Saccharomyces cerevisiae S288C: one gene and its partner. The main gene of each other region encodes a partner of the protein of the gene in region 2 in a complex. Each region holds a gene or a part of one and is shown on either strand. Other genes may lie near its edges. A codon is read from its position in the direction of its gene.

Region 1 (3,150 bases), on a different chromosome or scaffold from region 2:
GAAGTATTGGTTTTGCCATTTGCAAGGTACGGCTTACTGACGGGTTCATTGAGAAACCCACGGCACTATTCTATAATCTATAATGACGTTTTGGGTTATAAGACATTGGATAATGATGGCAACGATATTCCGGTAGGATTAAACGACAGTGTCGCATATTCTAAGTACATACATTTTTCGGATTATCCATTGGCCAAGCCCTGGAATTATCCATCAATGAAGGAGTTTGAATGTATCGTTAAAGAAGAAGACGCGGAGGATTCAAAGCTAGAGCACCAAGCTTGTGACCTTTGGAACTCGGTGTACGCTTCTTACATACAGTCCAGGGAAATCTGCCTCGTTTGATTATGAGGAGAAGTGAAAATTTTCAAAAAGTGTAAAAATTAGTATAGTCGGAAACGCATATATATATATCATAGTATTGATAATGTTTCTGCCAAGATTGTGTCCGTTATCGCATTTTCTAACGGGTAAGGTATGTACTAGGTGAGAGCGGGATCTTATTTCAACATGTTGTGCTTTAATGCTTCTTTATTCAACAGCCTGTCAACGTCATCACCGTATTTTGCGTTACCTTTTCCATTTTCTTTGAAGGCATAATCAACAGTAATTCTGTTGTTGGCGACTAACTGATTGTTCAAAGATTTTATTGCCAAATCTGCTTTTTCAAAGTCCTCAAAATAAACATAAGCACACTTTAATTTTCCGTTTGATAGGTAGAAAATTTCGGGTTCCCTTATGAGCTTACCAAATTTATTGAAAATTTTCACTAATTGGTCGCTATCTATCGAATCTGCAAGGTTTTTTATGAACAACTTAGCAATAGGTAGAATCATGTCCTTAGAAATATTTGAAGGTAAATTAGTTGTTCCTGTAGAATTGGTTACTTGACGAACCTTTATCAGTCGGTCGTATAATCTAACGGTATTATTCATTATTTTTATTGCATATTGAGCATCTCCTTGATTATAAAATTCGATGAATGCGTAGCCTTGGTAAGCTTGTAGAACTTTATCTTTCGGATACTTAATCCTTAAAACAGGGTTGATCTGAATGAAGAGTTCATAAAGTTGTTCTTTCGTTATCCTTGGATCTATATTCCCCACATAAACTGTATTACCAGAGTCTGCGCTGTAGTTCATCAATGTTAATCTTAGAATGATTGCGCTGTTCTTGGCTAGCTATTTTGCCCATTCATTTTTACCTCATCTCGGTAATTTCTGCTTGAAGAGTCGTTTTAGCTTTACTATCCATTTCCGTCTTATATCCACATCTGCGGGTAACAAATAAATAAATAAGGCCATCTGACAATTCAAGGCAGGGTAACGAGTGGGATTTTGTTCTCTTTGTTAAATCTGGATTAGAAAAATAAACGCCGAATAAATCTTCTGGAAATGTGAAAATTTCAACAACGCCAAGAATAAATCCCCTCGTTTTGAAAGAAAAGCCAGTAAATAGAAGTGGGAAAACGGCGTTAATGAGGAATTTGTTGGATTTTCAACTAAAAGAAATACTCATTTCATCAGCATGTGTATGAACGTCACAATTTTCATAATTTTATTGAATGGGCAGGCAAATTATTCCAAGTAAATAAATGGCGTAGTCCCTGAGTCCTCGATATTACTGTCTATTAGACTATGGTTAATCCAACGGGAATATATTTCATCACATGATAGCGTACTGCTGCAAATTGATTAGTAAATTAGTTCCCATCTGCCAGACACAATGTGTCAACTTCGCGTGCTCGTAAAAAAGTACTAACAACGGAACACCTCAACAATCTTGATACTTAGTACTCTTACTACGTCATTTCTTTGTCCTAGTAAATTTGTTGAGAAAATTTACATAATCTGAGGAACTACAATTTCTAATCTCCAGGCACACCCACCACGTGCCTGTTGGCTGACCGAGACAAAAGTGGAGAAGACAGGCACGCAGAAACGAACGTTTTGCAAGGAATGGATATGCTTCTGGAGCTTCTTCTTCCAGTCTATGCGAGATTGAATGAGAGCGGCTGGTTGCTATGGTTTGTCTTCCATGATGTGTACGAAGCTGTGAAAATGAGTACTAAGGAGTCAGTGCACACCAGGGTAATCAATTTCCCTGATATTTTGTCAACTCAACAAATGAGACAGGGTCCATCTCAGATCAGGACACCTCTGGTAATGCTTCTTATGTGAGGTGTCTTGGCCGAAATTTATATATATATATATATGTATCACTAAGCTCCTAATTAGACTGCCATGCGGCAGTCAACGTTACCTTTTTTGAAATGTAGAAAAATTTAGTTATTTTTTAGGATGTTCATAAATATATCTATATATGCCATTTTTAACATTATAAATTACGAACATACGTGAATGAGGTGATATGACTGGTAAAGAAGAAAAAAGGATAATAACAAACCAAACAAGATAACCTGTGCATTCTATTTTATAATTGGTAGCAGTTCTAAAGCAAAAAACTGAAAAAGTGCTTTAGTATGATGAGGCTTTCCTATCATGGAAATGTTGATCCATTAAGACGAACTATAAACGGCGTCAACTTTATCTTTGACAGCATTCAAAATGTCTTTTCTTTTCAATTTCTGAGCGGACGTAACAAAACCGTTTTGTGGAGTCCATTCGCCGTCAAAGAACACTATGCCTGCTAGTAATTCAATGCCAACCAAACCTTGGTCTTTACCTGTCTTCAAAAGATCAGAATAAACAGCTTTAATCAATTTTGCATCCTCCAAATAATTTTCGATATTAATTGAACTGTCTTTTTGTTCCATAATTCCCAACTTTTTAGCAAGCTTCGTTAATGGAGCATGATTTGGTACAATAATACCAACTGGCTTAGTCTTAGATTGGTCGGCATAAACACAAATGTTAGCAACATATTCGTTAGATCTGTAAACGGACTCTAATTTCTCGAGTGCGATATATTCACCGTTCATTGTTTTGACCAAGTTTTTCTTCCTGTCAATTATTTTCAAATGGCCATTTGCTTCCCATTCACCGATGTCACCGGTCTTGAACCAACCATCGCTTGTTAAAGCTTGAGAAGTTTCTTCCTCATTCTTATAATATTCAGGCGTGACATTGGCACCTGTGATCCAAACTTCACCTTGGTTGTTTTTAGCAAAATAACCTAATTCTTCAACAT
Region 2 (3,937 bases):
ATAGCTATCTTCTCCTTCGTCTTCTTCTTCATCTTCCTTTTCATTTAAATTTTCGTACACATTTACATCTATTTTCTCTCGCTTTTCCCTTTTAACTTGTTCTAGCTTCTCTAACTTTTCCATATCAGCTTTACTGATTTCTTGCAATATAGGTTGCTTTTGTTCAGTATCAAATTCATTTTCATAATCAGTAATTTCTGTCAAAATTGCGTCTTTTTTAAGATCATGTAAGGTTTTTAATTCAGCTGCCAGTTTTAATTGATAACGTGATAGAGAAGGAAGTATCTGAACAGGCACTCTATCTTGATTGTTAACGGCTTCATTGTAAGCTACCAAATTTGGTGAAAGTTCAATTATTTTATTGTAAGACTCCACCAATTTTGTCACAGCATGTTCTAGTTGAATCACCTCAAGATATTTGTAATTTGATATCTTAAGGTTGCCTTTCAAAAGCGTCTTGGTATTGATATTTTCGCGCTGCTGTGAACCATTTTCGTTATCTAGTTTATTATCATTCTGGGTTTTCTTTTTACCTGCTACTTTTGAGCCCATTGTTTTGAAAAGCTTGTAAATAGGACAGTTTTGCTCTCTTCTATATGCGCATTTACTTGCCTCACTTTGATCGAGCAGGATTCTCCTGAGAGTGACTATATGACCTGATAATGAGATAAATTTTGCGATGAGCTCATGAAAAATTTCAGCATGGTTTAGGGCCGCATTTAAAAAAGAAAAAAACTCGTACGTGAGAAATAGTACCACATGTAAAATTTTGTAAAACTGAAGTACCTATGCGATATTTAGTAGTTATTTCAATACAGTATATAGTTGCTTCTCCGATTCCTCTTCGTTTCTCTCAAGTTTTTCTTCTGCGCTTGTCACTTCGGATATGTCTTCCTGGAAGTGATCTAACTTATGCTCTACTTCATCATCGATTTTGTCATCTTGGCGCCCATTTTCCGCATTCGCCTGTGTATCCTCTTTTGAATTTTCAAATTCAGGGGTTTCAAATGAGATCAATGCGCCAAAATAGTTTCTACCCTGTTTCTTGGACCTTGAATGGTGATTAGGGATTATTTTTCCGTAAACGTCGCCTTTTAAATTCGTTATATCCCAATTCAAGCCGGCAATTTTCAGATCAGGATATCCCGTAGGTAATCCAATGTCTTTCATCTTCATACACCATGGTGGTAGTTGACCTTCGGGTAAATTCATTATGGCACGAAGCTCTTGGCTAATTCTCCCCGGTCTCTTATGATCAACCATTCTTTTCCAGTTCGTTTCCTCGAAAAGATTCCTATTTTCATAATAGACGTCACCGAAGCATAACAAATGGTCAGGTTTCCAGTTGGCTCCTATCTTGAAAAACACATCGTGTAACTTCTTGTAATCCAAATCCAAGGCGCCCATTTTCGGCTGCACTCTTGCTCTTGAGGCCTCCTTTAGTGACTTTTCATCTTGACCATCCAGTCCGCTTTGCGGAAGCGTCGATCTCATTTGTTCTATATTTGTCTTCTTGATAATGTCAGGAAGTTCAAAAGGTCTTTTACCTAACAGAGAACGGCCAGATAGATATTCCTTCTTGGACTGCCAGTGGCTTGGAACAGGAATGACATTTTTGGTGCACTTAATTGACGCTAGTAAGCCTGGATATCTTGCGTCACAATCGTACCATTCTATAATTTGAGGATACGGTACCTGGCTTTTTAACTGCGAAAGTGAAGGTTTTTCAGTCTTCCTACGTTTTCTTGCCGATAGATGCTCCTCAATACCATCCGAGGGTGTATCCTCCAATTCATCTTCTGCTGTATGCTTTCTGTTCATAACTGGGTTTTTCTCAACAATAACGACATGATTGTTCTTTTCATCTTTCGTGATTTCCTTCGGCGTATCATTCTCTTGCACTTGAAATCGTTGTAAAACGTCTTTGAACTCTTTTTCTAACTTCGCATCCACTACCTTATTCGTCTTTCCTTTGCTGTTAGTCACCCCACCCTTTTTCTTTTGCTCAAGCCTTCTTGCATCAATCATGGCGGCGATCTCAGCCTTATTATTTACCACAGACGCATTCTTATTTTGGTTATTTCCGGAACGCTTCCTACTTTTGGTTCTAGCCATTTCACCACTATCTTTATGATCTGATGCTCTGCCTATAGATATATACTCTGTATGCTACTGCCTTCTTAATACCTTTCTAAACAATACCAATATACTGTATTGGATTTCTATATGGTTGAAAGTTATTATTCTTGCAATTATAGCCCTGTAATGAAGCTGCGTGATTGGACCTGTGCCCTCTTCTTCCATTACTTACCCTATCACTTTTCTTTCTCAAGACCTAGGTCCTGTCGGCAAATTCCGCTGCAATAACGCGAAGATCATGACTTTTTTCACTCAGAAGGCAGAGAATCACGATTGATAAAGATCACGCAAAAAAAAAAGATGATTGGCTAAATGCATAGGGCGACAAACATGGGCCCTTCTTTTGCACTCATGTTTTAGCTTCCTTTGTCCCATTGTGTAAACTTATGACAAGATATCGCACTCTAAAAAAAAAAAAGAAAAACGCATTAGCCTCTTGCATGGATCTTACCTTCTGTAACATTTATATATCTCGAGAAATCTACGGACATTTAAAAAACGCTGTCAATACAATCTTCTAGATATTCGGATTTGAATTTTGCAAAAAGTCCGAAGCTGCCCACCTCAAGTCATTGTTTCAACTCGCTTACGGTATATATATCTACTTTCATTGAGATATAAACAGCGCTGATACAATCTTTTTATATAAGTCTTTTGTACAAATAAAGCTAGGAAAAGCCCGACGTCATTATAGCTATGCCATCTACCACTAATACTGCTGCAGCAAACGTAATAGAAAAAAAGCCAGTCTCGTTTTCTAATATCCTATTGGGTGCCTGTTTAAACTTGTCAGAGGTGACTACATTAGGGCAACCTTTGGAGGTTGTTAAGACCACAATGGCTGCAAACAGAAACTTCACATTTTTAGAATCTGTTAAGCATGTCTGGTCAAGAGGTGGTATCTTGGGTTACTACCAAGGTTTGATTCCATGGGCATGGATCGAAGCCTCCACTAAAGGTGCTGTGTTGCTGTTCGTGTCAGCTGAGGCTGAGTATCGTTTCAAAAGTTTGGGGTTGAACAACTTTGCCTCAGGTATATTAGGTGGTGTCACGGGTGGTGTCACTCAAGCCTACTTAACCATGGGGTTCTGTACCTGTATGAAAACGGTGGAAATTACAAGACATAAATCTGCCTCCGCAGGTGGTGTCCCACAATCTTCTTGGAGTGTGTTCAAGAATATTTATAAAAAGGAAGGTATTAGAGGTATTAATAAGGGTGTTAATGCTGTTGCTATTAGACAAATGACCAACTGGGGTTCTCGTTTTGGTTTGTCCAGACTAGTGGAAGATGGTATCAGAAAGATCACCGGGAAAACCAATAAAGACGACAAGTTGAATCCGTTCGAGAAAATTGGTGCCAGTGCTTTAGGTGGTGGTTTAAGTGCTTGGAATCAACCAATCGAAGTCATTAGAGTTGAAATGCAATCTAAGAAGGAAGATCCAAACAGACCAAAAAATTTGACTGTTGGTAAGACATTTAAATACATCTATCAATCAAATGGTCTAAAGGGTCTTTACCGTGGTGTCACCCCAAGAATTGGTTTAGGTATCTGGCAAACTGTCTTCATGGTTGGTTTTGGTGATATGGCGAAGGAATTTGTCGCCAGAATGACTGGTGAAACCCCAGTTGCCAAACATTAGCGTGTATTGTACTATAAGTTTTTTTTAAAAAAATTAATTATTTAGCTTAGTCATTTTTTTTTTTTCTGAGGATATTGCTCTTATGCTGGGGTGCTTCCTATTTGTCTCAACTTGTTCTAATTGTACTAAGGTTATCAGCTATTTACTTCATGCAAAC

Evidence for each region.
Region 1: the proteins of CUS1 (region 2) and HSH49 are in contact, whole or in part, in a crystal structure (PDB 5LSL), measured with the Saccharomyces cerevisiae proteins. Residues at the interface, in NP_013967.1 of Saccharomyces cerevisiae: Arg290 (codon at 1,248), Pro291 (codon at 1,245), Gly292 (codon at 1,242), Arg293 (codon at 1,239), Ile294 (codon at 1,236), Ser295 (codon at 1,233), Glu297 (codon at 1,227), Leu298 (codon at 1,224), Ile301 (codon at 1,215), Met302 (codon at 1,212), Pro311 (codon at 1,185), Trp312 (codon at 1,182), Lys315 (codon at 1,173), Met316 (codon at 1,170), Ile319 (codon at 1,161), Gly320 (codon at 1,158), Leu321 (codon at 1,155), Pro322 (codon at 1,152), Thr323 (codon at 1,149), Gly324 (codon at 1,146), Tyr325 (codon at 1,143), Tyr345 (codon at 1,083); in NP_014964.1 of Saccharomyces cerevisiae: Ile20 (codon at 1,085), Gln24 (codon at 1,073), Glu27 (codon at 1,064), Leu28 (codon at 1,061), Ile30 (codon at 1,055), Gln31 (codon at 1,052), Ile32 (codon at 1,049), Asn33 (codon at 1,046), Pro34 (codon at 1,043), Gly61 (codon at 962), Asp62 (codon at 959), Tyr65 (codon at 950), Lys68 (codon at 941), Ile69 (codon at 938), Met70 (codon at 935), Thr73 (codon at 926), Val74 (codon at 923), Arg75 (codon at 920), Leu76 (codon at 917), Tyr77 (codon at 914).

Annotation. Positions count from the first base shown.
Region 1 is NC_001147.6:910,814-913,963, reverse strand, and holds HSH49 (U2 snRNP complex subunit HSH49), read right to left. Parts: upstream 1,143-3,150; coding exon 501-1,142; downstream 1-500. Other genes in the region: GNT1 (glucose N-acetyltransferase), read left to right, coding at 1-345; long-chain fatty acid-CoA ligase FAA1, read right to left, coding at 2,519-3,150. UniProt on the Saccharomyces cerevisiae protein: Possible SF3b-like factor.
Region 2 is NC_001145.3:749,126-753,062, forward strand, and holds CUS1 (U2 snRNP complex subunit CUS1), read right to left. Parts: upstream 2,116-3,937; coding exon 805-2,115; downstream 1-804. Other genes in the region: RNT1 (ribonuclease III), read right to left, coding at 1-552; YHM2 (Yhm2p), read left to right, coding at 2,836-3,780. UniProt on the Saccharomyces cerevisiae protein: Essential splicing protein required for U2 snRNP binding to pre-mRNA during spliceosome assembly.